7 linked regions of the Coturnix japonica genome follow. The protein of the gene in region 3 interacts with the protein of the main gene of each other region in a pairwise test. Links are inferred from orthologs where the notes say so. Each region holds a gene or a part of one and is shown on either strand. Other genes may lie near its edges. The genes, in order: TSSK3, EDC3, EFHC2, NCDN, COPE, CLIC3 and SPG21.

Evidence for each region.
Region 1: the proteins of EFHC2 (region 3) and TSSK3 interact in binary tests that used the Homo sapiens proteins (3 or more experiments, as listed by UniProt). The two-hybrid records come from large-scale screens. The link is inferred for Coturnix japonica from reciprocal best matches to the Homo sapiens genes EFHC2 and TSSK3.
Region 2: the proteins of EFHC2 (region 3) and EDC3 interact in binary tests that used the Homo sapiens proteins (3 or more experiments, as listed by UniProt). The link is inferred for Coturnix japonica from reciprocal best matches to the Homo sapiens genes EFHC2 and EDC3.
Region 4: the proteins of EFHC2 (region 3) and NCDN interact in binary tests that used the Homo sapiens proteins (3 or more experiments, as listed by UniProt). The two-hybrid records come from large-scale screens. The link is inferred for Coturnix japonica from reciprocal best matches to the Homo sapiens genes EFHC2 and NCDN.
Region 5: the proteins of EFHC2 (region 3) and COPE interact in binary tests that used the Homo sapiens proteins (3 or more experiments, as listed by UniProt). The two-hybrid records come from large-scale screens. The link is inferred for Coturnix japonica from reciprocal best matches to the Homo sapiens genes EFHC2 and COPE.
Region 6: the proteins of EFHC2 (region 3) and CLIC3 interact in binary tests that used the Homo sapiens proteins (3 or more experiments, as listed by UniProt). The two-hybrid records come from large-scale screens. The link is inferred for Coturnix japonica from reciprocal best matches to the Homo sapiens genes EFHC2 and CLIC3.
Region 7: the proteins of EFHC2 (region 3) and SPG21 interact in binary tests that used the Homo sapiens proteins (3 or more experiments, as listed by UniProt). The two-hybrid records come from large-scale screens. The link is inferred for Coturnix japonica from reciprocal best matches to the Homo sapiens genes EFHC2 and SPG21.

What each region holds. Positions count from the first base shown.
Region 1 is NC_029538.1:4,558,598-4,562,510, forward strand, and holds TSSK3 (testis-specific serine/threonine-protein kinase 3), read left to right. Parts: upstream 1-1,685; 5' UTR 1,686-1,698; coding exon of another isoform or gene 1,699-1,734; 5' UTR 1,735-1,735; coding exon of another isoform or gene 1,736-1,785; 5' UTR 1,786-1,901; coding exon of another isoform or gene 1,902-1,993; coding exon 1,994-2,138; intron 2,139-2,494; coding exon 2,495-3,156; 3' UTR 3,157-3,230; downstream 3,231-3,913. UniProt on the Homo sapiens protein: Serine/threonine protein kinase required for spermatid development and male fertility.
Region 2 is NC_029525.1:1,775,934-1,779,813, forward strand, and holds part of EDC3 (enhancer of mRNA-decapping protein 3), read left to right. Parts: intron 1-400; coding exon 401-714; intron 715-3,880. UniProt on the Homo sapiens protein: Binds single-stranded RNA. Involved in the process of mRNA degradation and in the positive regulation of mRNA decapping. May play a role in spermiogenesis and oogenesis.
Region 3 is NC_029516.1:100,084,440-100,088,319, forward strand, and holds part of EFHC2 (EF-hand domain-containing family member C2), read left to right. Parts: intron 1-2,287; coding exon 2,288-2,476; intron 2,477-3,880. UniProt on the Homo sapiens protein: Microtubule inner protein (MIP) part of the dynein-decorated doublet microtubules (DMTs) in cilia axoneme, which is required for motile cilia beating.
Region 4 is NC_029538.1:3,821,405-3,826,084, forward strand, and holds the start of NCDN (neurochondrin), read right to left. Parts: upstream 3,030-4,680; 5' UTR 3,007-3,029; coding exon 2,911-3,006; intron 2,830-2,910; coding exon 1,843-2,829; intron 1,499-1,842; coding exon 1,269-1,498; intron 763-1,268; coding exon 547-762; intron 348-546; coding exon 205-347; intron 16-204; coding exon 1-15. Other genes in the region: KIAA0319L (dyslexia-associated protein KIAA0319-like protein homolog), read left to right, coding at 4,089-4,230. UniProt on the Homo sapiens protein: Probably involved in signal transduction in the nervous system, via increasing cell surface localization of GRM5/mGluR5 and positively regulating its signaling. Required for the spatial learning process.
Region 5 is NC_029543.1:2,774,272-2,778,634, forward strand, and holds the start of COPE (coatomer subunit epsilon), read left to right. Parts: upstream 1-1,318; 5' UTR 1,319-1,358; coding exon 1,359-1,484; intron 1,485-1,587; coding exon 1,588-1,650; intron 1,651-2,464; coding exon 2,465-2,565; intron 2,566-2,730; coding exon 2,731-2,883; intron 2,884-3,322; coding exon 3,323-3,376; intron 3,377-3,668; coding exon 3,669-3,750; intron 3,751-4,363. Other genes in the region: probable ATP-dependent RNA helicase DDX49, read right to left, coding at 1-31, 679-764, 833-956, 1,048-1,162. UniProt on the Homo sapiens protein: The coatomer is a cytosolic protein complex that binds to dilysine motifs and reversibly associates with Golgi non-clathrin-coated vesicles, which further mediate biosynthetic protein transport from the ER, via the Golgi up to the trans Golgi network.
Region 6 is NC_029532.1:97,853-102,395, forward strand, and holds CLIC3 (chloride intracellular channel protein 3), read right to left. Parts: upstream 2,880-4,543; 5' UTR 2,865-2,879; coding exon 2,757-2,864; intron 2,594-2,756; coding exon 2,484-2,593; intron 2,173-2,483; coding exon 2,047-2,172; intron 1,927-2,046; coding exon 1,820-1,926; intron 1,655-1,819; coding exon 1,479-1,654; intron 1,141-1,478; coding exon 979-1,140; 3' UTR 297-978; downstream 1-296. UniProt on the Homo sapiens protein: In the soluble state, catalyzes glutaredoxin-like thiol disulfide exchange reactions with reduced glutathione as electron donor.
Region 7 is NC_029525.1:16,060,034-16,063,002, reverse strand, and holds the end of SPG21 (maspardin), read left to right. Parts: intron 1-116; coding exon 117-225; intron 226-709; coding exon 710-817; intron 818-1,212; coding exon 1,213-1,353; intron 1,354-1,653; coding exon 1,654-1,776; 3' UTR 1,777-2,286; downstream 2,287-2,969. UniProt on the Homo sapiens protein: May play a role as a negative regulatory factor in CD4-dependent T-cell activation.

The sequences.
Region 1 (3,913 bases), on a different chromosome or scaffold from region 3:
GATAAAAGTCAGCGGAAAAGTTAAAGATCGAGACGAGGAACGGCGGAACGGGGACACCGACACCGCGGGGACACCGACACCGCGCCGGGACGGACCGAACGGCACCGGAACCGCTGCGAGAGCGCGGGGTGAGGTTCGGGTTCGGGTTCGGTCCGGGGGAACGGCGGCACCGCGGGGCAACGAACGGAGACCGGACCGGACGGACACGGAGCGGAACCGCCGCCGAACTCCGCCCCACGGGACGCAGCCGGTTCCGGAACCCGAACCGACAGCGGCCAACGGCACCGAGCGGAACCGCGGGACGGCCCAAAGAGCGACGGACACGGACAGACACAGACACACACGGACACACACGGACACACACGGACACACACGGATAGACACCGACAGACACACGGACACAACCGACACGCGGTTCCCGCAGCTCCGGCCGCCGCCGCCCCGGAGCCCAACGGCCGCGCTGGGGCTGCCGGCCCCGGGCTGAGTCAGTGCCGCCAACCGAGCGCCCGGCAGCGCCAAGTGCGGACACGGCCGCAGCCCCGCCGTCTCGTACCGTACCGATCCCGCCCCGCCCGGTCCCGCCGCTCTCACCCATCGCGGATCCCGACACGGACGTTCCGGCGGCGGCCACAATATGGCGGCGGCAGCGGGAGGGCGGGGAGCGGCGGACGGCGGCCGAGAGGGACCGCGGCGGGACGAGAGCGGAGAGCAACGCCCCGAACGGGGTCACGGGGCGGGGCCGGGCTTCAACTCGCGGCCGCGGGTCCCGCGTGGATCCTCGTGTCCCGCCACGTGCCCACGCGCCGACACGACCCCCCCCATTGCACCCCCCAGCCCCGAGCTCCGTCCCGGGCCGAGCTGAGCCGGGAGCGGCGGCCCCGGGAGCCCACGGGACGCGTTGGGCCGCACGGCCGGACACACAAGGAGCAGCAGGCGGGGATCGCGTTAGGATGGGCCTTTCTTTACAAAGTGCATAAACATCACGGGCCGCTCAGGTGCTGCGGGGCCGGCAGTTCCCTCCCATGGCGATGAACACGTTGATGGGGATGTGCGGCAGCGTCAGGCGGTGGTTGGCGGGACAGCGCCGCAACTGCCTGCGGGGAGACAGGGGTCAGAGGGACGGCACAGCACGGCACAGTACGGCATAGTACAGTACAGTACAGCACAGTACAGCACAGCACAGTACAGCACAGTACAGTACAGCACAGTACAGCACAACCTGCAGCATCACAGGAGCCCCTTTGGACCCTCACCTGCCCGCAGTCCACGCTGTGCCCACCCGTTGCTGTGTCTCCAAAGCTGCGGCCGCACTACAACAGTCGCCCGCCTCGATGGGGAACCTCCGGGCCCGCGGCGCTTCCTGGGAGCTCATGGCCCGGCCCGGTTTTCTCTGCACAGGGAGAAGCAGCTGGGAGCTGCAGCGGGGCCTGGCTGCGATCCCGGCACCGGCACCTTCCTGCTGTGAAGGAGCCCGGCCTGGTTGGGCTGCAGGCGCCGGAGCAGCTGGACACACTCAGCTCAGACGTGAGGCCGCGGTGGGTCGGTGTGAGCACAGCTCTGAGCTCATGGGCGCAGCCTGGGGTCCCCTCCCTGCAGCAGCAAAGTGTTGTGTGAGCAGCAGCTCCTAAAGCCCCCCCGCCACACCCCGATGAAAACGGGAGAGGAACAGAATGGACCCTGTGACCCCCCTGTACTCACGGTGCCCACCGAGCAGGTCCTGCCCAGCACAGCCCAATTCCCCCCTGCCTGGCCGAGCTGTCGCCCACTTTGATGCACCTCCGTCATCTGGGATTCATGCAGCATCGGCTGCATCACAATAACACGCCCATGCTACAACAGGCGCCTCGATGCCCCTTCCCACCAGGGCAGGAGCAGGGCCTGGTGGCTCTACACGTGCCAACAGGGAGCACGGGGAGCCCCTGGCTGCTGCGATGCTGTTGTCGAGTTGCTGGGGGTAAAACTGAGATTGAACGGCCCCGATTTGTGAGAGGACATGGAGGAGTTTTTGCTCGCCAGCGGATACCAGCTCGGCCAAACCATTGGGGAGGGAACGTACTCCAAGGTGAAGGAGGCCTTTTCCCAAAAGCACCAGAAGAAAGTAGCAATTAAAATCATTGATAAAAGGGCGAGTCCAGAAGGTAAGAAGTTGCCCCTGAAGAGCTCCCAGGTACCGACCCCTCCTTGGAAGCTTTTAGTTCCAGGCAGAAAATGAGTTTCCCAAACTTTCCACCCAAGAGCAGGAAGGGCAGGGAGGTGCTGGGGGCAGGGAGGTGCTGGGGGCAGCTCGGAGCAGCCAGGCCATGGGGTGTCCATCCGGCTCCTCCAGCCATAAGGTGGCCAAAAGCAGCACAGCTCAGACCCCTCCGACAAGGGCCCTGCTTGGAGCCAGGCACCCTGGCACAACCCTTCTTCCTTCCCACTTTGTGGCCGCAGCCCGGTGCGATGCCGGGGCTCAGCAGCTCAGGAACTGAGTGAATTTTCCCCCTCTTGGCAGAGTTCATTCAGAAGTTCCTGCCCCGGGAGCTCCAAATCATCGAGCGCCTGGACCACAAGAACATCATCCACGTGTACGAGGTGCTGGAGTCGGCGGAGGGGAATATCTGCCTCGTGATGGAGCTGGCCGAGAACGGGGACATCTTCGACTACGTGGCACACAGGGGTCCCCTGCCCGAGCCCTGCGCCAGGGAGCTGTTCTGCCAGCTGGTGGAGGCGCTGCGCTACTGCCACGGCTGCGGGGTGGCTCATCGCGACCTCAAATGCGAGAACGCGCTGCTGCAGGGACACACCGTGAAGCTGACGGACTTCAGCTTCGCCAAGCAGCTCCCCGTGGGCAGCCGAGAGCTGAGCAGAACCTTCTGCGGCAGCGTGGCCTACGCGGCCCCCGAGGTGCTGCAGGGGGTGCCCCACGACAGCTGCAAGGGCGACATCTGGAGCCTGGGCGTCATCCTCTACGTCCTGCTGTGCGCCCACCTGCCCTTCGACGACACCAACATCCCGCAGATGCTGTGCCAGCAGCAGAAAGGCGTCTCCCTGCCCAGGCACCTGGAGGTCTCCAGGCCGTGCCAGGACCTCCTGAAGAGGCTCCTGGAGCCAGACATGGTGCTGCGGCCGTCGGTGGAGCGGCTCAGCAGACACCCCTGGTTGGCCGGACCCTGAGGAGCGCTCGGCTGCTCCCCCCCGGGGACAGATTGCTTCGAGGATGCCAATAAATTTGGATGTGTTTCCCACGTGTTCGGCCTCACGTGTGCTGCCAAGGCAGAGCTGAGGGCTGCTTCACTTTAGGCCATTTTTACCTGCCCCCTCCCAACCCCCGGCCTTCAGCAGGGAACAGAACAGACCAAGCAGCCCCATGTTCCCACCCCCTGTAGGCAAACTTCCCTTGGGATGAGGGGGAGGAAAGCAGAAACATAAAGCAGTTGATCCCCTTGAGGCAGCTGCCCCCAGCCCAGGGCAGGGGAAAAGGAAGGAGGACACAGTGGTGAGTGCGGAATTCCTTTAATTGCTGTTAACTGCAAGTCTGTAAAAGGTTTGGAGAAAGTTACAAAACTACAGATGTTAGAATTGTTCCTGGTTTTCCACCCCAGCTACAAAAGGCTCCGGAATAAACAGAGAATATTGCACAGACAACCAGACGGTCAGTGGGACTAAAGAAAAACAGGAGACATGAGAGCAGCGCGGCCCAGAGCTCCACATCCAGCCTGGGTCACCCTGAGCCCAGGGAGCGCAGTGCTGAGCAGCCGCAGCTGCAGCCCCACATCTGAATGTCCCCAAATGGGGGGGGAGAATATCAAGTTTTCCAAGAGCACCTACACTAACGCAATCCAGAAACAAAACCCACAGCTCAGATGAAGCAGCCAAGGAAGGGGCAGAAGAGCAAAGGTAGCACATATAAAACCACCCCCCCAAAGGCCAA
Region 2 (3,880 bases), on a different chromosome or scaffold from region 3:
ATGCATTAAAAATAGCTTCCAGGCTGAGGATAATTGTTATCTAGGAACACTTAAATAAATACAGATTTTGGGGAAGGTTGTGCTGATTGCCTTTTATTTTTTTATTATTTTTGCTTGATTGATTCCTTTTTAAGCTGAGAACAAAACCTCCTGAACACAATCCAGGTGCGGCACAGAAATACTGAGGTTTTTATTAATACATGTGATTTCAGCTGAATGTTTTGGTATCTGGAATGCATGCGCCAGATTATTTAAGTCCTTCTTTTTCTTGTTTCCACTGTTAATTGCACCTAAAGAAACCTCTAACCAATCCCGTGTACAGTGTTGGTTGTTTTTTTGTTTGTAGAAGTAACTGGAATGTTAAATATCTGAACGACTGGTTTTCTTTTCTTGTTTTTAGGGCAGGTGACATTACTGAGCTGAAGATTCTGGAGATCCCAGGGCCAGGGGACAGCAGACAATGTGGGGACTTGCAGCAGGCAGACACAGGCATCCCTGGGGTTGGTTGCCAAGTAGGGCCCAGCCAGAATGGCACTGGGAAGATGTTTAAGAAGCCCTACTCCAGCAGTGCCCCACAGAACATCCCCAGGAGGACAGACATGAAGAATCAGGATATTATCATCTCCCCACAGCAGCAGTGCTCCAAGAGCTATATGGATCGGCACATGGAAACGCTGAATCAATCTAAAGGCTTTCGTCGAAGGCATAATTCTTGTGAGTCTGTTTGTTCACCTGTAACTTTCCTTCCTGCCTGGGTTACCACTGCAATATATGCCCTTGTTCAGCAAGAATATTTCAAACCAGAGTTTTCTTTACTTGCTTTTACACTTGTGTTGCCACCAAAAAGGTCTGGGAAAGAGAAAGGTAAACAGTGAGGAGAGAGTTCGGAACACGTGCTTCAAAGTATTGCAAGTATGGATCTTCCAGGGGTCTTGCACTTGTCTTAAATTCCTTCATAGTGGTGGTGTGATCTCATGCAGAACTTAATGAGAATGTTCATGCAGCCAAATCTGTCTGTTATAGCACATGATCAGCTACAGATCAAGAGCATGATGGATTCCTTGGCTTCTGCAGGGCATTCTGAGTGGGAGCCCGAGGCAGCTTTTGTGTGCTGCAGGTTGGGAGGATTGTGAGGTGCTCATGGTGTTGTTACTGGCCCATAAAAGCTAGTATGAGCTCTTCTTCCCCCTTTTCTTTCTGCTGGTGTGAGGTTAGAGGTTGGGTTGAGATGAGAATAGGAGTGAACAGATGTTTGGGGGGGGACAACAGGGAAAAAGACATGTGGACACAGTGCAGAGGAACAACAGGTGCTGAAGAACACAGGTGCTACTCATTACACTCTCCAGCCCTGTGGGCTGGTGGTCAGGAGGAGGGGCAGAGAAAATATCCAACAGCTTGTGGGAAGTTCTGCTCTACTTGTTAATGCAAAACAGAAAGGGCAAGTTGTATTGTGGGGTGTGAGCTGAATGGAAAGATCAGTTGCACTACAGTTCTGCCATGTTTTACTGTTGTTTAACGCTGCCCATCCTTGTTCAGTGTGAAGAACAGCCTGTGTGTTCTGCTTCATCAGCATCAAATGCTGCAAAAGATAGGACTGGATGATGTTGGTTAGAATGATTTCCCAACTCCTGTTATCTTTCCTTAGTGAAAACAGCCCAAAAGACAGCCTCATTTTTTCCTCTAAAAGGAACCAGAACCAAATTATGATATTGTGAAACTCTTATGGTTATACATGCTTTAACTGAAACCTATTACAGCATTGCCCTATGAGTAATTACAAGTGCTTTTTGCTGCATTGTTAAAAACACAACATCATCTAATGAGAATGAGATGCACTGATTCAATCCTTACACCAAAGCCAGACGTCCCTATTCTAATTCCTGTTTAAAAAACTCCTCAGCCAGCTCTAATGCTGTGCCAAAACTGGGTATGTTCTTTGGTTTTCACCTTTTATTTATTTATTTTCTTCCATGAAGCCCTCTCAGCTATATATATCCACATCTTCATCATGCAATTATTACAGCATCAGGATATACGACTTGATTTTTTTCCCCCCTTGTTTTTATGCATGGAAAAGAAACAAACTCACAGGACCAATTAAACAAGGAGATCAAAGGCTGTATGTTGTCTGAAGATGATGTGAGGGGGAGGGCATGTTCTCCTTGGTGAACTTAGCCACCTTCAGGCCTTTCTGTTTCCCTTCTACCCTCAGTTGTTTGCAGTAACTCCTGCTTTATTTAGTCTTGCTGGGCAGTGCCTGTGGCCAGATCACCTCACATAACAGCAATCTAGTGGGTCTGGGGTGTGCAGTGAGGGCTTCAAACTACTTCAACCCACCAACAGCTTGCTTCAGTTTGACATAAGCACAACAGTGGGTCCAATTTTCTTTTACAGACTCTTTTTAAAACAGGTTGAGCAAGGTGCTAGGAGTAGGTTCTTATTTGCTTGGCTTCATTTTCAGCTCAATGAGGGAGAAAAATTGAACTCTTACCCTCTGGAATGTTATTTGGAGAGCAGGCTAAATAATGTATGAGTCTCTCCACAGTGTGATGGAGGTAGTCGTGGCTACAGGAATCAAGGCAAGGATGGGCTGAGATGTCATCTAGCACTAAGTTGTACTGTGCCCATGCTTAGTATGGCTCCAAGTTGACCTTTTGCTGCCCCTTAGTGTGCCAAGTCAGGGACAAAGTTCTGCCTTTGGAGTCCATGTGTGACAGCAGTTGATAAGCACTGAGCAGCAGCACAGATTACATGTTGCACAACAGGGTATGTGCTGTGCTGGAGCGGGGCTGTGCATGCCAGGGCTGCTGCTGAGAGCTGCAGGGGTCTGCCAGGAAGGCAGCCAACTCAATAGAGGCTTTACATTTTGCTTGTGTGCTATACATAAAAGATTTTTCTTCTAAGAAACAAACCAGAAGCCTGGGAAGTATTGTTTGTCTTTAGAGGGAGGTGTTTTTCTTTGCATTGTCAAGCTGCTAACTTGATGTGGAGATGTGCTGTTCTTGTTAATATTCTGTGCACATATGCACGCAGAGCAGAGGCTCTGAGAGTGGCTCTGAAAAGAGCTGAGCTGAAAGCTCTTGAGTTGCTGTGGTTGATTGGCAGAGGATGGGGATCAGGCTGTGGAAGCAAGCAGGGCTGTGAATAGCAGCTTTCAGGAAAGGGCCGGGGATAATGTCACACCAGCAACATGGAAGGCAGTTGGTACTTCTCCTGTTAGCCTGAGCTTTCCCTTTCCTCCCCTTGTGCAATTTTTCAGCCCTTTTCCTTCGATGGTGCCAGCTTGCCCATCTAGAGAGTAAGAGGAACACCACTTAACTTTGCTTGGAGCGGTAGGAAGCCTCTTGCAGCCCCTGTTAGTGGGTGGTTATGCAGTCTATAATAAGACAGCCTGTTGTGGGGTCAGCAGTATTTCAGGGCTGGCATCCATCGGTGTGGATTAGAGAGCTGCCCAGCACAATGCTGGCACGTCTCGTTTTGATGAGGTATGGTCTTGGCTCCCATTCACGGTGTCTGCAGGGGAGCCCGAGGAGCTTTCCAACCATTGTTCTTGCAGTTTTTCTAATGCAGTTTTTCATTCAGTCAGCATTTACACGCTGCTCACATCAGCTGCCTCTGTCCCCTGGATCTGCTGCATGGCTGGGCTGCCCATCCCCACAGTTTGCTTTTTGGGTCATCTGAGGGTAGAGGAGAGAGTAGTTTGGAGAAAAACCTGGCAGTGAGTGTAAGGACTCTTGTTGGATAACAGGAACAGATCGAGCTGCCCTAACATCTGACAGTCACACAAGAAATGAGCTTGTTTTCTCATTGTGTTCAGTGCAAGCTCTCGTTTATGTGAACTTTGAGTCTGTTGCTTTGACCTGCAGTCAGTGAAACATTT
Region 3 (3,880 bases):
AGAGGATGCTTGGGTGATCTTCACAGAGGAGCTTACAAGTAGTCCTGTGATTATTGATCTAAAATGATCTTTCTTTCAAGACCTAAAAAGCTACAGAGGTTTTTACCGTGCTTTAAAAACTGTGCTTTTCTCCCTAACTCATGCTTTGTTAATAGGCAGAGAAGAAGTACTTGCTGTGTCAGAATGGATCTGCTGGTGTATGGAGCCTTCAGTGGAAATCAGATGTTTTTGCCCACAAATTTCCTGTGTAGAACTCAGCTCGACTCTAGTTATTCCACATTACACCTAATAAACACAGAAAGCTCCCTCCCATTCTTTCCAGCTCTTTATCAGTTTACCAGGGAACAAAAGTAATGATAATAAAGGGGAACAAAACAAGAAAGAGCAGCTTGCTAGTGTCCAAAAAAGAGGGAGCAAACCACCCGTATTGGAAACCTTGCAGTGTCTGCTTTGAAGGATGCTGCTCAGCCCAGCCTTTGTTAACCTGAGCAGGGTACGGCTGTTGATTTTTATGGCATTAAAAATAATCAGTTGTAAAAATAATAAGTAATGTGGTTTTTTTTGCATACCACTGCCTTTGCATTATAAGCAAAATCTAAACTAAGGTAGGGATTGAGCTGTTCATTCAAGGACAGCTCTCCTTCCTGTGTCATTGGGCTTACAGCGCCATTGAGGTTTTCACCTTCAGTGTGCAGTAGTTTGTGTATATGAGCAGTGAATGTTATGAGCCAAAGGTTAGCTGCCTTTCAGATTCCTCACTCCATTTCATATTGGCAGAGTAAAATAACTAGTCAGCCCCTTTCAGGTTTTGCTGCTCCACTGCTTTCACATTTCCCAGAATATTGAATGTGTATTATATTATTCTGGAGCACTCGAACATCGCTATGATGAACAACATTTCTCTTGGCCAATTTTTATTCATGATGGTAATGCAGTGTCGTCTACACTTTTTGGGAAGCACTGATTTAAATGTGTGTGTTCTAATTAATGTTGTTTTCTCTTCAAGGAATCATTAAGACTAGAAAAGACCTCTAAGATCACCCAGTCCAACCAGCAGCCCATCACACCATGCCCACTGCCCACATCCCTCAGTGCCACATCCACACGGCTCTGGAACACCTCCAGGGACAGTGACTGCACCACCTCCCTGGGCAGCCTGTGCCACTGCATCACTGCTCTGACTGAGAGAGAATTATTCCTAATATCCAAACTTTCCAAATGCAGTGCTACATTACTGACATATCTGTTCCAGTGATGCTCGGAGAATTATACTGTCTATCCTTTCCATTGGCCAGGTCCTTTCTGTGCTTTCCTAGCATCGGTTCTTCCCCCTTCCTCATGGTACACCAGCCCCAGGCTGAAGGTTGGGGGCACAACTCAGTCGCTCCAAAGCTTTTCAAGGATTTGAGGGAGTGAGGAAGGGAGCAGAATAAGAGGAGCTAATGGATCAATATTGCTGCTCATGGAAGAAAGGGTTTGTGGTGCCGTCTCCTGTTTTGGCTCTTCCTTTTAGTCTGATCTGTGTGGAGCTGCTGCCTCTGCGTGAGGGAGCACGCCTGTAGTGCAGGTTGCCCACTGGAAGGAGCATTCCCACAGGCAGAACTGATGCTCACTGGAGCATCAAGCCAGGATGGCTTTCTTTGCAGTTGGTTGTCTTTAAGCACTCCATCTGTAATTGCCTGAAAAACAGTAATAATGTAAATAATAATAATAATATTAAATTGCTTCAGAGGTTGTCTTTTGAAATAAGGCCAGATAGAATGAATTTTCTGTCTTTTGATTCAGCTGCAGATTCCCAAAACTGAAGTGTATTCAGGAGTATGTATTTTGCACTCTGCAATGCAAATATAAATGAGGTCTTCAACATAGGTTATGACAGCAGACTGTTTTCTAGGTACTCTTGAAGTGTTTCCATCTGACCTTTAGGGTTCTATAGAGGAAGCTTTTCCCCCTCTACCGTTTGCATTGTTCCCATGGGTGACTTGCTTCCTTCTTCCATAGTCCTTATTGCAGGGAAGAAAAGGGGGGACAACAGCTGGTATCATCCTATTTCTCAGCCTGGCTATGTTAACAAAATGCCTTTCCATTTTGATCCGTAAGACACAAAATTGACTGCTGAAATAACGTCACTTCACATGCCGTGCTCAAGTTGTTACAGGTTTACAGATAGTATGAAAAGTACTTATAGAAAAACTTCTATGTGATTTATCCCCCTTGCCTAGCTAGATAACTCTTATGAAGTTAAAACCACACATTAAAATGTCTTTTTCTCTCTTTCCTTTGATAGTTAGGGAAAGAGAAGTTCCACAAATCGCAGCTCTGGGGCTACTGCAATAATGTTGCTATGCTGGTTGGGGAAGATAAACCTGGAATAGGAGGTGAACCACTACCTGGACAGAAGCTGAAACCTAAATCCAGCGTGTTTCCTGCAGATCTGGGATGTGGTGTTCCTGCCTGGATAGCATTTGACAAAAAGGTATGTAGAAATCAGGATCTGTGCGTTTTTTTATGAACAGATACCATAATACAGAGGTGAAATTCAGACAGTCAGATTAGTTTTTGCATGGAGAAATGTTCTTGTGTAAACAAAAAGGGTGGAAACTTCTGTTTTTTTTCCTTAATATTTGTATATTGTATAATTGAGGTAGATGTAAGTTATACAGCAACGTACACAAATATTTCTGTATTGGGATATGTCTCCTACAGGGCATAATACAAATAAGGGGGTAGTTAATATATACCCATTTAAAATAGTGATAGCAAATAACTGATTTGCAGCATATTCAGAATGAATGTACTTCTCCATTTCTTTGTTTTTCAAATGATCAAACAAGGAAATGTGTAGTTAAAGGAATGTAAGGGAAGCCTCATTCCAGGAGAAAATCTGCATGACCACTAACCACAGTGCAGTTCTGAGGATTAGAATTCCCCTATCTAGTCTTGTTTGCTTGCTCAAAGTCCTGTTGACTTTGTTCATGTGTGGGGAAATAGACAGTATCTGTTATAGATGCTGGGATTTAAAATTAATACATATATTTATTTGTTTCATAGGAGTGTAATGGCACCTCTAAAGCTAGAGAGTTATCAAATAACTGTTATCTAGGATGATATGTATTTTGTAGCATGCTGTCATTACCTTCCCTTTTAAAATTTACTATAAATGCTACTTGGCGATGGTTTATTTCTAAAGCAATAAGCCTATAATCAGAGAAGGAAAATGATCCGGGAAAAGAAATCATTCAGCAAATTGCAGAAATGTTGCATGACAAAATTATTAGGATATTTAAATACTGAGAAGAATGGCATAATTTTTGTTTTAAAGTAAAAGTCATGCAGATAATTTCATCATAATTATCTATTTGTCTCCTTGGCAGACCAGAACTACTGCAAGAAAATGTAAAGCTTGAATAGACAGATATACATTATATCTGAAGTCCCTCGTATTGCTTGCCTGCTTTTCACCAATGTGCTCAAATGTGAAGTGGTATAATGTGCCTAAGTGTTAGGGCCAGCCCTGCACATGCTCTGTCTGCACCCCTTTTTTGATATGAAAGTGTGCATTGATTTCTTGGGGACATACACGTTTCCAGGATTTGGACCCAAGATTATGAAATAAATGAGTTAAGTAGAAAGTGAGGGGAACTGCTGGTAAAATGAGTTAGCTGGCTACTGTCTTTGTATTCCCACACAGGGCAATCAATGCAGGACAGGAGTTTATGGGTTTAAAATTAGACTCTGGAGGGCTCATGTCTTTTATTTTAATTATAGACAGTTAAAGAGTACTACCCAATTAATTTAACCTCCAGGTAAGAGCCTGAAATGGCACTATGCCTGACAGTGCTGCAGTTTGTGATGCAGCTTAGTGGACTTCATGAGAAAT
Region 4 (4,680 bases), on a different chromosome or scaffold from region 3:
CAGTCTTCTGAAGAACTGAAAGAAAAAGGAAACGAATGAGTTGATGCATTACTTGGCCAAAGGAGGGACCCTCTGGGATTTTTGTTACACTTCCAATGACAAAAGCCCTACATGAAACTGGGTCTGTTCTTCTTATATTCTGGGGTCCTCAGTCCATGCAGAGCAATGTGCAGCTTTGCCATGCTGCTTACCAGTGCTTCTTACCTGCTGAACTTGAAAGGATCCTTGCCATCATCAAGCCCAGAGTGGCAATGTTGGCTGCTAGAACCAAATGATCCTTCTGAGGTAGAAGGAAGGGAAGAGACTTCAGCAATGTGTCCATCAAAGAAGAGAAGGCTTTTTCCTGCCTAGAAAGAAAGGAAACCCTGAGAAACCTCCTGAGCAGAGCCAGACACATGTGATAAATGCAGCATTAAAGAATGTGATGAGATTGGCACTAAGAAAAGGGGCATCATTTTTTCAGTACAAGTGTCTTAAAGGATCCTGGAAGCTCATCTCTCATTGCATCCCTGTCCTTCATAAGACAAGCTTCTGTGGCTCCGTTACCTGATGAGGTCTGGTGCAGTCACAACCAGGTTAAGGAAGATCCCACATAAAGTCTGCAGACTCATCTCAGTGCTCGTCAGGGACCCAGGCTGAGAGGTCAGCACCTCCCAGTGATGCAGGAAGTAGTCACACAGTAGTGCTGGTGCCCCTTCTGAGATGAGGATGTCTCTGGGTCTGTCCTCTGCTGTTAAATGGCAAAATCCAGGTAGTAGAAATCTGTAAGGTGGGAAAAAAATGAAAACAAAAGGTAGAGAACAGTGAGTTGGGGTCTAAACCCTGGATTTACATCAGCCGGGGGGGGGGAAAGTGCCATAGAATTGGTACTGCAGAGAGAAAGGGAAGGAGAAATTACTCTCAAAATCAGCTCAATCAGTAACACAGTGGTGACTTCCTTATGCCTGAGGGAAATGTACTGAAATCTTACAGTAGAGCCCACGTAGGCTGATCTGCTTCTACAAAGACTCTATTATTTTCCCTGCTTGCTGTAGCTAAAGCCTAGACACACAACTTCCACAAGTCTTTCCCTGCCTCTCAGTCTCTGTGTGCAGCTGCCATCTTACATTAGTCACACACAGAAGGCTTGGACAGCTGCATTGCACTGTGGCAGTTCCAGTTGCCTCTTTCACAGCAAAGGATCAACAAGAACTTGACCTAAATGCAGGATGCAGGAAAAAGTGTCATTTTGTGTTGAAATGCATCAGCTCTGTACTTAAAATACACACCTCAGAGCATCCTGGGTTAAGATGGAGCTGTCACTGCCGACCAGCCCAGCTGCCTGGGGAAGATTCTCTGCTGGGCCACCCTCTTTGAAAAGCTTCTTGGTATAATGAACAAGGAAAGGTAAGAGCTCACAGATCTCCTGCTTGAGGGAGGATGTCTCTTCTGCCATCCAGGCTCCAAGGATCCGAACAGAAGCGAATATGAAAGGATCCTGTAGCTCCTCCTCTTTCACCTGGGTACAGAAGAAAGCAGCTGATAGAAAAAAGATGAAAACCACAGTGGGCCAAAATGCACATTTTGGTCTATTCAGCTTATGGACACGAGCTGCTAGAGCAAGTCTGGACTTCCGTGGCTGATTTTCTTATTCTGATGTAGGAAAAGGATGGAATATAAAAATCACAGTAATCACTGAGTTATTAATTTTCTGTCTTGTGATCTATCAGCCTGGGTGCATCCTGCTGTTCTTAACCACATGTGGGTAAGAGGCCAGCAAGACCCAGTTTATGCACTGTAGGAGCTGTTTAAAAGCCTCCCCACAGTGAAAAGCCATCATTTCCTTGCTTGAAAGTTCCTTACCTGTCTCAAGTAAAACACTACGGCTCCAAATGCTTCCTCCATGATCCTCATGAGCTGCATTCTCTGTGCTTCATCTAGCAGCGATTCCTCTCCTTTCAGACACTCCTGGATCCCCATCTCGATAAGGACGTAGCAGGCCGTTATCACTTCTTTTTTCCCCTCCACCTCCATGGGATTGGGCTCCTCTAGGGTTAGGCGGATCTCCACACAAGCCAAGTTCACCAGCAAGGCCAGGAACTTGCTGCCAGTTCTCCCTGCTGGGATCCACTCTGCCCCACAGGCCTGCACGATGCTGGCAGCAAGCTTCAGAGCAGGATCCCTCTGTGACTGGCTGAGTTTACTGCCCAGAATATCAGCCAGCCCTTTGTAAAGCTGCTGGATGCACTCGGAGCCTTGTGAGACCTCAGCAAGTGGTGGTGAGAGGGGGATGAAGCGAGGCAACAGCTGACACAGCTCAAACTTGGTGGCATCTTCAGCCTTGACAAACTGCTCACAGAGCTTCCCCAGCACAGCCAGGAGGTGCGGGGCATCCCTCTGCCAGCACTTCACCTCTGATACAGCCAGCAGCCCCAAGAGCAGCTCCAGGGCACGCTCAGAGCCATAACCACCATTGATATAAGCCTGGCACAGAGCAGACACCGCTCCTTTGCTCACCATCTCCCTGGGACCCCTGGGAGTGGCCAGAACAGCAGTCAGACACTGATACGCATCATCTATCATAGACGTGCAGTCTGGATTAAAGGGAGCAAGCAGGACGCTATTGAAGGTCGGGATTTTGTTCAGGATCTGTGTGTGTCCAGCCAGCTCCGGTTCGGTACAGAAACAACCCAGCAGGGTGAGACCCAGCGCTTTAAACATGTATTCAGGGCAGCCTGGTGGGGTTTGACTGGAGCTCAGCAGCCGGTTGGGGAACGTGAAGCCGATGGCATCGAAGATCTGACGTCGGGTCTTAGAGTCCAGATCTCCAGCTTTAACCGCTTTAGTCACCTGGAAGGGAAAGCAATGAATAACAACAAGGCTCAATATGGCTTTAGGTGTTCCCTATGGGTCCTGGTAATGCGTCCTTACCATCAGCAGTGCTGCCAGCTGCTCGCTGTCGTTCCTAGCATCCCTTAGCACCTCCATGCACTTCTTTAACGTCGCAGCTCCGTGTATCTCGGCCATAACGACCCGCTCGGCTCCACACCGATATATTAAGGACAACGAACGGAACCAGCCGCCATACACACGCGATCCGCCCCTTTAACCAATGGGTCGCTTCTTTATTACGTGATTCCGGAGCTGCCCCTCCCCGAGCTCCAGCCGGTAGCGGAGCAGCTCAGCCCGGAGCTGACGGTACCGGGCTCGGTTCTCCCGGTGGGTCCGTTCCGGATCCGGAAGGGGTCGTTGTGTTTCCGGGCTGAGCCGCTATGGATGCGGGGTTGGGGGCTGTGCTGACCCCCGGTTCGGCCCGTTGGAGGCTCGGCCGCCCGGCGTGAGGAGTGGACACCATGCGGGCCTGGTACGTGGTGCGGGGTTCGGGTTCGGTGGGGTGGGTTCCGTTTGGATATTGCTAATAACGAGCTTTAGGTGTCGTTCCTATAGTCAGTTTTGTGATGCTGCTGCTTACAGCTTGTGCCTAATAACGCTCTGCTACCCCTGCAAACAGGCACTATTTATCCCTGATGAAGGTAATGTATCGCAGCTTAGAGCTGGTTGTGGGGTCTCAGGGACATCTGAGGCTCCACATTTACACCCAGTGCTTTCTGCTTTGTGCCCATAGAGCAGAACGTGCCCTTATCTTCATACAGCTCAGCATTGCTGTGTTCTGGCTCTGTTAGTGACTGGCACCAAGCAGCTCCGCTGTGAGCACTGACATCACTGCAATGTGTGTTTGTCAATGTGTGTGTTGTGTTGGAGGAGCTAATTGAAGATCCATCACCCTATTTGAGCCAAAAAAGGCCCAAATGCAGCTTTGGATGTGGTGCTGTTTGGTGTTTTGCTGCTGAAAGCGATAGAATCAAGGTGGGGAATCACAAGTTGTGCTGTAGTTCGGTAGTTGGGAATTGTGCTGCTAAAGGTCTCTTTAGCACTGTGACATGGATGGTTGCTTATCTGCTGTGCTCAGCTGATAAGATTAGCTGTTCCTTTTCCTCTACAAACACCCTGTGCTGTTCATCATGCTGTGTGAGCCCTTGCAGGAGCACACCAATGTCCATAGGATATCTTCTATGTTTCCAGAACCCCCGTTGCTCCCCACAAAGGCCATGGAGAAGAGGTTGGAAGCCAAGCTCAGCATTAATGCTCCATTTCTACTACAATATTTCTGGGGAAGACCTGCAAGGGAACTGAGAAGCCTGAAGCTGCTTTACCTGTGCACCTGCCTGTGTGCCTTGTGCTCCTCAACAGGTGATTGTGTTCTGCGTGGAACCTTGTCTGTATTGTGTATTGTATCTTTGTCTGCTTTATCTGAGATGAGGATTTGCCCCTTGTTCCAAAAAGGAACTAACGAGACTCTGCTTAGTAATTTCATTTGAGCATTTATTGGAGGAGGTTGGGAAGGTAAGAGTGTTTTGAAGCATCCTGTGTTTGTAAAGTCTCCGCAGACAGTGTGTGTCAATAGTCTATTTGCCTATGGGTAATTTATGTTTGCTCTTATATTTCCTGTTCAAACTTGAGTAACCAGCCTCTTGCTCAAGTAAATACACTAAATGGGTTTCTTACATGGAAGCTTGCATGTAATAGGTTAAAACCATGAAGGCCAATGCACGTATGAAAACAAATGTGATGATATTAGACATAGTTATCCTTACGTGGACACTATTTTCACTAGAATTGCTGCTATTTTGGTCTTGTATC
Region 5 (4,363 bases), on a different chromosome or scaffold from region 3:
CGGGAGAGCTCCAGGGCTTGAACCACCATGTCTGCAGCGAGAAACACGCTGCTGTGTTACAGATTGAACCTCGTAAACATGGAATGTGCGTGGCTGGAAAACACCAGCCTTACAGAGGAAGGTCATGGAGACATGAAGAGTCATTCTGCTCCCCCCCCAGCCACAGAATCACAGAATTGTAGGGGTTGGAAGGGACCTCTAGAGATCATCGAGTCCAACCCCCCTGCCAAAGCAGGTTCCCTACACCATATCACACAGGAAGGCATCCAGGCAGGTCTATCTCCAGAGAAGGAGACTCCACCACCTCCCCGTGCAGCCTGTTCCAGTGCTCCGTCACCCTCACTGTAAAGAAGTTCTTCCGCACATTCATGCACAACTTCCTATGCTGTACTTTCATCCCATTAACCCTAGTCCTGTCCCCACACACTACTGAAAAGAGACCAGCCTCACCACTATGGCTCCCACACCTCAGGTATTTATAAACCTGGATCAAGTCCCCTCTCAGCCTTCTTTTCTCAAGGCTAAACAGACCCAGTTCCCTAAGTCTCTCCTCACAGGGGAGATGCTCCTTCACCATCTTTGTATCCCTCTGCTGGACTCTTTCCCAGAGATCCCTTTCTTTTGTTGTACTGAGGAGCCCAGAACCGGACACATCCCACTCTGTGTTGTCTCACTCACCCAGGCCGCCCACCACCACGCAATCCTTCAATCCCAGCGGTTTCCCCAGCACACGGAACTGCTCAGCGATCTGGTAGGCCAGCTCCCTGCGGGGTAGGGCAGCGCTAAGCGGGGATACACCATCAGGGGACCCCCCCTATGGGTTCCTCCGTACCTGGTGGGCGTCAGAACGAGGCAGAAGATGCCGTAGGGATCCTCGGACAACACCTGCAGCACCGGCAGCACGAAGGCCGCTGTCTTCCCGCTACCCGTCTTAGCGCAGCCGAGGCAGTCGCGGCCTACACGGGAGACCCCCCCCAAAGTAAAGAACGTGAGCGATGGCGGATAATAGAGAACTGCAAGGAAGGGAGAACAAGAGACCAGGCTCACCCTGCAGTATGGGCGGGATACAGGCGGCCTGCACGGCCGTCGGGCGGCTCAGCCCCATCTGCCGCGCCTGCTCCACCAGCCACGGGGCCAAACCCAGCTCCCGGAACGCCGCCATCTTGCTCCTTCCTTAACACCACTGACTTCCGGCCTCCTTCGCGTTCTCATTGGCTGCCTCCCGCTTCCGTCGCCGTAGTGACGTAACATGTTTCTCGCGTGGCTATTGGCTGGAGCTGACATCTTCATGGACATGGCGGCTCCCGGCAGCCCTCGGGGTTCAGCTACTTCCGGAGAGACGTGTCCGGAGCGGCAAAATGGCGGCCGGGCCGGGGTCGGGTCCAGCTGGTCAGAGCGGGGAGGGGGACGAGCTGTTCGACGTGAAGAACAGCTTCTACATCGGGGCCTACCAGGCCGCCATCAACGAGGCACAGCGGATCAAGGTGGGGGTATCGAACGGGGTTAAACCCATGTTGGGTTTAGGAGGTTCCTGGGTTTAGTGCCCAGGTTCCTTAATGGAGCTGTTGTTTCTTCTTCTCCTTCCAGCCATCGAACCCCGAGAAGGAAACAGAGAGGGATGTGTTCTTGTTCAGGTCCTACATTGCACAGGTGGGTCGGATTTACAGCAGCACGATGTGACTGTAGGGCTCAGGTAGGGCAGGGTATGAACCTGAGCTCAATGCGACACAACCGAGTAATAAACACAACTGAGTAATAAATACTAGAGAAGCAGGAAACAGGTGCTGGAATTAAGAATAAAGGGAGGTTAAAAGGTGGTAGTTAAAGGTAGTTTGTAGAAAGAAGCAAAGGAAACTTAAAGAGTTTATGGAAACAAGGAAAGGAAACTTAAAGGTGGTTTATAGAAACAAGGAAAGGAAACTTAAAGGTGGTTTGTAGAAATGAATAAAGGGGACTTAAAGGTGGTTTGTAGAAGTAAGAAAAGGAAACTTAAAGGTGGCTTATAGAAAGAAGTAAAGGAAACTTAAAGGTAGTTTATAGAAATAAAGGAAACTTAAAGGTAACAAGTAAAGGAAACAAGGGGCCTGGGAGAGCAGGGAGGATGCAGGTAAGGAGTGAGACCTCATGGACGACATCAGGCAAGGAGGAGAACAGGTAATGTAAATACCAGAAGAGGAGTTGCATCCCCCTGATAAGAACAAGAGGGAGTCTGTGTGCTAAAGAACTATTGAATATAGATCAGAATTCTGAACTATTGACTATGTATTAGAATTCTGAGAAATCATTGACTATGTATTAGATGTACCTATATCTGTGTCATGATTTTACAAGTCGGGGTGCAAGTTTGGTGGAGCTATCCCCCTTGCACCCAGTGCTGGAATAAACGTCCCTGCTTTATAACCCATCTCTGGATTATAGAGTTTGATTCTGCAAGTCACTAGGTTTTCTGCTTTACCTTTAACAGAGAAAGTATGGGGTTGTGCTGGATGAAATTAAAGCCAATGCCAGTCCTGAGCTCCAGGCTGTGCGGATGTTTGCAGAATATCTTTCAAATGAGAGTCAAAGGTAAGTCTGAAAATGAGTTTGTTTCACAAAGAACGAGTTTCTAAGTGAAGAGTTCATAGAAATATGGTTTTTATAATGTCTGGCTTTGGTTTTGCCACAAAAAAGTAGGTTTTCTGATAGCGAGGCATTTTAAACACTTCTATTCCCTCACCCACACTGTTGCAGGGATGCAATTGTTGCTGATTTGGACAAAAAAATGGCAAAAAGTGTCGATGTGACCAATACCACTTTCTTGCTGATGGCTGCTTCAATCTATTTCCATGACAAAAATCCTGATGCAGCTCTACGTACTCTACATCAAGGGGAAAGTTTGGAATGGTAAGTATAACTCGATCTGGCCTCTCTGCGGTGTGTGTTAGCAAAGTCTCGCTCATGTAGGGAGAGGTGTAATAGAAATGCCCAGGATCTGGCTTGTCTCTGAAAAGCCTTGAAACCATTGAGAAACTCTTGAGAGGTTTCCCTTTCAAGTAGTGATGGATGTGGTGCTCAGTCTGCAGTATAAAATCTATTGCTCCCTTGTGAAACTTAAGAATCTGATTTATTGATCTGTGTGGATTCAGAATTGCTGAAGTGAGTACTATGGCTGTACACCAGGAGGGCAGCTGGGAGCTTCCCTGCTTTGAGTCCTGCTGTGAGCTCTGCTGGCTTTGTTGGCTGCCTGTATAGATAGCCCTGGCATGAGTAGTGTATCTGTGCTAAGCACAAGGAGTGATAAAACTCGTCATTATTACAATTGATTTGCTTTTATTCATTGCAGCACGGCGATGATGATCCAGATTCTTCTGAAGCTTGACAGGCTTGATCTGGCTCGGTGAGTAAGCTTGTCTGTGTCACTTTATTTCTGAATAGTGAGCATAAAGGGGTTTGAATCTCTAGGCCTGGATTTCTTCCTTTCCTTACAGAAGTAAAACAAGGAGCTCTTCCACAGCTTGTCTCAGTGAAACATTAGGAGGTAATTATGCCTCCTTACTAGTTTGCTATGGTTGTTTTTCTGTTGAGGTGAAAGAGCTTGAGAAAGGAAACTTCAACCTTCTGTCTGCATCTTAGAGGACTAAGACAGGCCTTGTTTTCCTTTTACACAACTCCCACTTTTGCATCCACAGCAAGGAACTGAAGAAGATGCAGGAGCAAGATGAAGATGCGACCCTCACTCAGCTGGCTACTGCCTGGGTGAACCTGGCTGTAGTGAGTATCCCTGGCCTACGATATCTGAGAAACAGCATTCAGACAAGACTCTGTGCTTAGTTTGTGATGGCCTTTTACCAAGTTACCACCATCTCATTAAACTTGTTCTTTTGGTGCCTGCAACTGGTTGGCAAGAAATTGTATTGTAATGAAGAGTTTCAGATCAGCCAAAAACACGTGTTGTCTGTTAAGTCCAGATGTCAGGTGTTTGAAACCAGTCTCCTAAGATTCAGTAAACTCCAAGGTATGCGTGCAGTAACCTGTTACAACAGTAACAGTAACCTGGGGCTGAGTTTTCCTTAAGATCTTATTTTCCTCTAGGGAAACATTCATCCTCTAATCAGTGCAAGCTGCTGCATCTGAAACCTTTCTAAAGCAGGAATGTTTTGAAAAGCCAGGTGTCTGTACCTGGGTTTAATTGTAAGATCTCATTTCATAGTCTTTTATTACGTTGTAATGTTCTTCCAAACATTAAGTCGGTGTTCTGAAGTGGTTCTTTTGAAATGTTTCTTGATCTTTTGATCATTTAAGTGCTTCTTAATATTTAATATTTTTGCATTCCTTTCATCTGTAGTCTTACAGTGATCTCTCAGAGGAGACTCTGTGAATGACA
Region 6 (4,543 bases), on a different chromosome or scaffold from region 3:
GCTATGAGTTGCTGGGGTTTTTTAAAGAGCGTTGAGAGATAATTTATAAAGGTTGTCTGTGCTTGTCTTATTGCCAGTAAAGATGGTACCCAGCCAGCATGATGGTGTGTGCATCGTTTCATTCTACACTTCCATTGCTCTGCAGCCAGTTTCAGCTCAATCTGGGAGCTCAAGGGCTCCAAGGAATGTACTGTCCCACCAGTTTTGTACCCGTGGATGGGTGGGTGACTGGTGAGAGCCTCTCCAAGTCATATGCAGGGGGCAGCTACAGTGGCTGGTCACTCCAGACACTCTTGTCTTGCTTGCAAAGCCTTTATTGATTTCCAAATGCTCTGATACATACATGGCTTGGATTTTTCCCACTTCATCCCCATCCCTGTCCCAAATCTGCTCTAGAGAGCTTCCTAGCAGCAAGTCCTGGTGGGACGTTGCCCTCTGCTCCCCTGGGTGGGGCAGTGGTGACAGGGCAGGGTGCTGCAGTGTCCCCCCCAGCTCCATTCCCAGGGCTTTACTGTGACTGTGCCAGTTCCCCTCGCCCTGTGATGCTGTTTATGGACACCCTGCAGTGCCTGCTGTCCTGGCCACAGACACACTTAGGGCAGCTTGTGTGGTGGGAGGCTGCAGGGATTCCCACTGCAGTGTGCTGCCCTCCAAGCAGCTTTTCTTCCCTAGCCCCTGCTGTTCCCCTCAGCATTGCCCAGTTCTGTTACAAGCAGTGCCCATGCCTGTACCCATCCTTAATGCTTGAGGGACTGCAGAGCGGGTCAGGGGTATCCCGGCCAGGCAGGGAGGGTGACATGAGAAGCAAGAAAGTGTTGGCAGGCTTGACGCAAGGTACCTTGGGTGCCAGCTGGGAAAATCTGGGTGCTGATGCTCTGCCCTCCCAAGCACGTGTGGGCAGGATGGCGATGGGAGCAGCAGGACCAGGTGGTGCTGAGCTGCTGCCTGGCCCTGTGCCCACCTGGGCATCTGCCCGGCTCACTGTGGGGACCGGACAACGGAGCGGTAGGCCTGCACAATCTCCTCACTGCTGGGACAGGTGTATTTGAACTCCTTGGTTTCAGCAGCATTATTAAGGTAGCGCCACACTGCATGCAGGTCCTTGGGGATGCCGAAGTGGCGGTAATGCTGGCAGACGATCTGTGGGCAGAAATAGCCCATTGCTGTGTGCCCATGGCGTGCTCAGGGGGCCCTGCAGCTGGGAGCTGGTGGTGCTCACTGGTAGGAGCCAGGGAGGATGGCATGGGGCAAGAGGACATCGCTGGCATAGCACAGGATAGAGGGGGGTGTGGGCTGGAGCTGTGGGGTGCCAGGCAGCCACCTGAGGGGTACAGCGAGCCAGGGGATGGAACAGGGGAAAGGGAAGTTGCTGCAGGCAGGTGGCAGGTGAGCACCCAGGAGGAGGTGAGAGCGTGGGGCAGGCAGCACCAAGGAGGCAAGGCAAGGAAAGGCAGCGTGTGGTGGGGACAGCCATGCACCTGCACGATGTTGAGCTTGGGCAGCAGGTTGCAGTCTGCCAGCGTCAGGTGGTCGCCATCGAGGAAGCGGCGCTGGGAGGTGCGGAGGTGGGGCTCACGGGCCAGCTCATGCTCCAGGGGTGTGCTCAGGTACTCATCCAGCTTCAGCAGGGCCTTCAGCAGGTTCCGCTGCAGCGCTGTGTAGGGCGGCAGCAGCGTGCAGTCAGGGCAGCAGGCAGCCCCCTGCCCTTGCTCTGCCTGCACTGTGCCTGCACCGTGCCTGCCTGGTCCAGGCTGGCGCTGCCTCTGCCCCCGCCCCCCACGGGGCGCGGCACGGCACAGCCTGCCCCTCAGCTCCTCACCCTCATCCTGAGCAGGTACCGGGTTCTTTATGTAGGTGGAGAACTTGTGGAAGATGTCGTTTCCAGCCAGCCTCGACTCCTTGTACCGCGGGACCAGGCTGGGGAACCTGCGGCGACATAAGCACAGCTGGGGAAGGAGACAGCAGGGCTGGGAGCTGCCCCTCCCGCCCCTTCCTCAGCTCCTCCACCCCTCCTTAGCCCCTCTCAGGGCAGCGCCGGCCACTGACGTGGGGGGGGCCAGCCTGGCCTCCAGGAAGTCCTCGATGGTGACTGTGTCGGTCTTGGAGTCTCCGTTGTAGAGCAGAACGGGCAGCTGAGCGCCGGGCGCAAAGTCCTTCAGCACATCCAGTGCCCTGCAGGAGAGAAGAAGCTGCTGATGCCCGCGTTGCTCGGGGATCTACAGCGCACCGGGACCCGGCGTGTCCTGGGCAAAAGGATGAGGTTCTCCGGGGGCTGTTCCTGCCCTGAGTTTGCCTATGGCGGCTCCTCCCAAGAAGTGACCGCCGCCCTTCCTTAGAGTAATGGTGGGCAGCCAGGGGGTACAGCAGGTGTCCTCGGCCCCTTTCCCACGTGGCGAGACCTCCCCGCACCCTCCGGGTGCCCACGGCAGGGCTGTCCCACCCCACGCCCCCAGACCGGCAGAGCGTCGCGGGGCACCGCTCACCTCTTGGTGTCCACGGTTGTGAGGGTGAAGGGAGCTCCTTTGAGCCGCAGCACCATGAAGAGGCGCTGGCAGAAGGGGCAGTTCCCAATGTTCTCTCCATCCTCGCTCGCCTGCGGGCAAAGTCAGAGCTCAACCGCCACGCTCCGGTGCAGCCCCCGCGGCGGCCGAGGCAGCGGTCGGACGCTGATGGCGATGCTGGCGGCCCCGGCATTCGCAGGCAGCGGCAGCCGCGACCCCTGGACCGGCCACCCCCGGCCCCGGTCGGGTCCTCACCTTGACGAAGAGCTGGATCTGGGGCTTCTCGTCCATGCTGGGCGGTGGCTGAGCGGTGACTGTGCAGTGAGTGCCCGTGCCGGAGCTGCGGCCCCTCCCAACCCACATTCCTCCCCGGGGTGCTCCCGCTCCCACCCACGCGTGGCCCCACGGCACAGAGGGGCCGCCCCGTCGCGGGGCCCCGCGACCGCAGCGGAGCGGCAAAGGGCGGCTCTGCCCGAGGTGTGTGTGTGTGTCAGGGGGTGCTGTGCCCCTCGGCGCTCCGTGCCCCCCCAACCCGCTATTCCCGCACCGGCTCCAGGCGATGTCCGCGCCGTGCCCCTACCCTGGGCACTGTGAGCCGCTCCTTACCCCCTGCCCAGCCACCCCCCCCCGGCCCGTTCCGCAGAATTGGAATTCCCACTACCCAGCCTCGCTGGCTCCAGTTATTTTTTATTTAAAACAATCATTATTTTCACATTTCATTTTCTTTTTTTCTTTATGCTAGCAATGTACAGGCTCCTCCGGAGCACCCTCACCCACCGGGGTGCCTCACGCTCGGTGCCGTGCATAGCACAGGAGCTGCTCCTGCGGCGGTGCGGGGGGAGGCGAGCTGGGAAGCGGGGCCAAACTCAGGAAAGCAAACAGTGTTAAGGCAGCGGGCACCCCGCCCTGGGCAATGAATGTGCCGCTCCAGCCCGGCTGCCGTGGGGCACCTTTCTGCACGGCCCTCCCGCACCTGGAGCAGGGAGGGCACGCGGCCCCCAGGCTCTGCTGGGTTCTCTGCGAGGGGCACAACGGCTTTGCCGAGCACCCAAGGGCGGCGGGACGGCACCGGGTGGGAGCGCAGGTGTCTCCTTGCACGAGTAGCCCCACAGGTGCAGCAACAGGGCGGCTGTGGGACGAGCACACGGCCCTGAATGAAGCAGGGCAGGGGGCCGTGCCCACCTTTTGGTGCCCGGAGGGGGCTGAGCTGTCCCCACTCCCAGGCCACACCTGGATACCTACAGGCGACACGGTCCCTCCTTTCCCTGGTGGCAAAGGGCAAACCCAAAGCGCTCGCTCTTGCCCCCTGCACCACCCAGGGACTGGCTAGTTTCCAGCATGCCATAAAAAATATATGGTCTGAAAAATCTGAAAATAGAGCTTATCTCCCCCCCCCAGTTTTTCCCCTATTGAAAATACTGTATATTGTATCACAGTCTCTAGTAGGTGGCACACTGGACTGGCGGTCTGTGGGCGCAGCAGAGGGCAAGGTGGCATTGCTTCCACCCCAGGTCCATCCTCGAGCAGGGGCAGCAGCAGCCCCATCCCACACCCCCGCAGCACTGCCCCCACCACAGTGAGCCCGGGGTGCTGGAGCTGCCCCGTTGCACGCTGGGCGGGAGGTGGGCACAGGCAGCACAGTATGGGCAGCAGGGCATGGCCACCTCGGAGGGGGTGGGAGCCCTGTGGTGCAGGGGGTTGGCCAGGTTAGCAGTCCAGGCTCAGCAGTCACCCCTGTGATGTGGCTGTGAGCCGCTGAAAAGCTGCAGTCTGGAGGTGTCGGGCACAGCCCCCCATGGGTGAGCAGGTGGCAGGACCATTTGCAGAAAGGAGGGCTGCCGCCGTCCTGAGAGTGCCTGCCCTAGCCCAAGGTGATGCTGTACATGGACGGGCACAGCACCACTGCCAGCTGCTGTCCTTCCCTGCTTAACAGCTTGGGTACTGCTGCCAGGATAACCAGTGCCCTGGTGCGCTGCCCTGCCCTTGCCCTTACCCCTCGAGGTTGTTTCCAGGCTCAGAAACCATCCTGGGTGCAGCAGCTC
Region 7 (2,969 bases), on a different chromosome or scaffold from region 3:
CTTGAAGCATCTTCACGATTTCATTTGAAATTCTTGCACAAAAGTCAGTGCAAGAAAAGGGAAGACTTAAAAGAAAGCATCTTAATTCTGATTGTTACGTCTTGTTTCTGTTTTAGCTTTTGGTTAATGCCTGCTTTTATGCTGAAAAAAATTGTCCTTGGCAATTTTGCATCTGGTCCTGTAGACCCTGAAATGGCCGATGGGATTGATTTCATGGTGGACAGGGTAAGTGGCTGTGTGCTCCAATGGCTGTAATGTCAATCTTTGTGAGATATTCACTTAGTAGATGGGAGGTTGTAGATATTTCTGCTGCTTTCTTCATTTACTTACCCAGAAGTGAACAGTGGATGGATTCTCAGCAGGTGTTGGCTGCAACAGCTCTTGCAATTTAACTGGTGCTGTGATTTGTCTACCTTATTGTTCCATTTATCTATGTATATTGGAAGAGAGGTGGCTAAGAAAGAGATGGAAATGGGAATAAGTGCTGAGATAGTAGGCTATGCTCTAGAGGCAGGAACAATTAATTAAACGTTCTAAGTATTTGTCTCATGCAGCGAAATATTAAGATGGAACTATGATCTTCATCTGAAGTGCAGTCATGTTTCCCTTTAAAACTAAAGAGCTGTCTTCTCTTTGGCTCTGCTGTTATTATTGCATTAACTTCCTGCAGTGAAATATGTTATTAATCACAATTTGTCTCTACTGAAAGCTGGAGAGTCTGGGCCAGAGTGAGCTTGCCTCGAGACTTACCCTCAATTGCCAGAACTCTTATGTGGAACCTCATAAAATCCGAGACATCCCCGTAACTATTATGGATGTAAGTTTATTTCAGCTTAATTTTTTAAATACTTTTTTTTTTCTCCCAAACATCATTTCCTCCTCTTGGAAAGCAGGGCCTGGATATTGTGTTCACAACTTAATAAATATTTGCACCATCTAATTTTGTATTTAAATAGTTTTTCTACTGACTGGATAAGACAGCGGCTCTTCTGTGTTGAATTAATGGCTGTTACTGCACAGAACACCCAAATGTTTATCTATCAGTGTTAGCTTTCTAGTCACTGATGCTTAACTTGTTTGCTTGTTTTCTGTTTCATTAAAACTGCTCCACAGACAAGCTGGCAACTGCTTCTAGAAACAGGGTCTGTCAACTTGATTTAATAAGCAAAATCTGACTAGACTTAGAATTAACTGTTGTCACTTGTTGCATAGGTGTTTGACCAGAGTGCGCTCTCAACCGAAGCGAAAGAAGAAATGTATAAACTTTATCCTAATGCCAGAAGAGCTCATCTCAAAACAGGAGGCAATTTCCCTTATCTCTGCAGGAGCGCTGAGGTCAATTTATACATTCAAGTGAGTGTCTGCATTCAAACCTAATCTACAAATGTGTTGCTGAAATAACAGGAAACTTTTTCTGAGCTTGCTTTTTTCTTTAACTGCCTGATGTTTTTACTCCCATATCACTGATAGAGAAGAACTGTGCTGCAGGTTTATCAAGGGTTGGTTTTGGAGGCTTGGTTGCTACCTGTTCCCTCAGTCCTTTGTCTGTACTCTTGTATTCCAGGCCAACAACTTCATCCTCACTGAAACATTACCCATAAGGAATGTGTCTTAATCTACACCGGTTTCACTGTTATTTTCTATATCCAACAGATTCATTTACTGCAGTTCCATGGTACCCGGTACGCAGCCATTGATCCCTCTATGGTCAGCGCAGAAGAACTGGAAGTCCAAAAGATCAGTCTTCATAGCAGCAGTGAACAGGAAGAGCAGTAGGTTTCTGACTGCCAGTGAAAACGAGGAATCAGTTTGGGCCTCCTGCGTACAATCACCTGTTCCTACTCTGCCTTTCTCCTTGTGTTAGCCGATTATCACTGTGTGATTCCAGCAGGATCAAGTCAGTGAGCTACTCGCGGACAATAAACACTCAACAATGTGACAGGGCATCCGTTTAATTTTTAGTCTTTGAATTCAAGAAAGTATCTTTGAAGACTACAGTTTTAAAAACAAAGACATTTTTGCTACCAAAGTCTTCACTATCACGTTCTTAAACAGAACAGTATTTCTTTTTATATTTTCATTCAGCTGTATATATTGCCACATGCAGGTTGTGTACTTACAGGTTGACATATATTTTTGTTGAATATTTGATTTAAAAGTTGTTTAAGTGCCAATGATGCCATCACTTCTTTGCTCCGTATGTTGTGTTGCAAGTTAGTTTCCATTTGAAATTTTTAACTTTCTTGCTAGCTGTTAAAAATGGTTTTCAATAAAACTCCAATTTCAGCAATTGCCTCTTCTACTGATTGCAAGAGAACAGCAGCGTTGCTTTCTGTAGTCTAGGTTTATCTCTACGGGTACCTTTTAGACGTTAAGAAAAGCCGAACCTTCTACTTGAATTTGCCTCTTATGCAGGTTTGTTTTGTTGTTGGATTTGTTTCTTTGTGGTTTTTTTTGTTTGTTTGTTTTTTAAGAAAAGGCTGACTAGGACAAAGTGTGCAAATTTAACAGTAACATTCTGATTCATTGCAATACAGCCATTTTTTCTACTTGAAACACTCTAAAAATACAAAAGCTGATGGGTCAAATCTGTGTTTATGAAAACTGTCCTTAGGAGAGACTGTGTAAAATAATCAATGCTAACATCTTGGAGTTAAAACAGTAAAATCCATGCAGCAATGCTGTGCATGAACATATCAGCCCTCAGGTCACCTTAACAACTTCACTCTTTGTCTCTTAGATCACAGATAACTCCATGTCCATCTAAGCTTTTCAAGTGACAACCCAGAGATTAAAGAAGTGACCCACCTGAATTATATGTGTTACACCGATCAATCTCGATGGTCTTCTCCTTAAAGACCACAGACCATGTAGTCACCTCAACTTTTCTGAACAAACTCCCATGCTAAGAGGGAAGTTGAGAAAAAATCTAAGACACAAGCATTAGACCAGAATCAAACACAAAACAG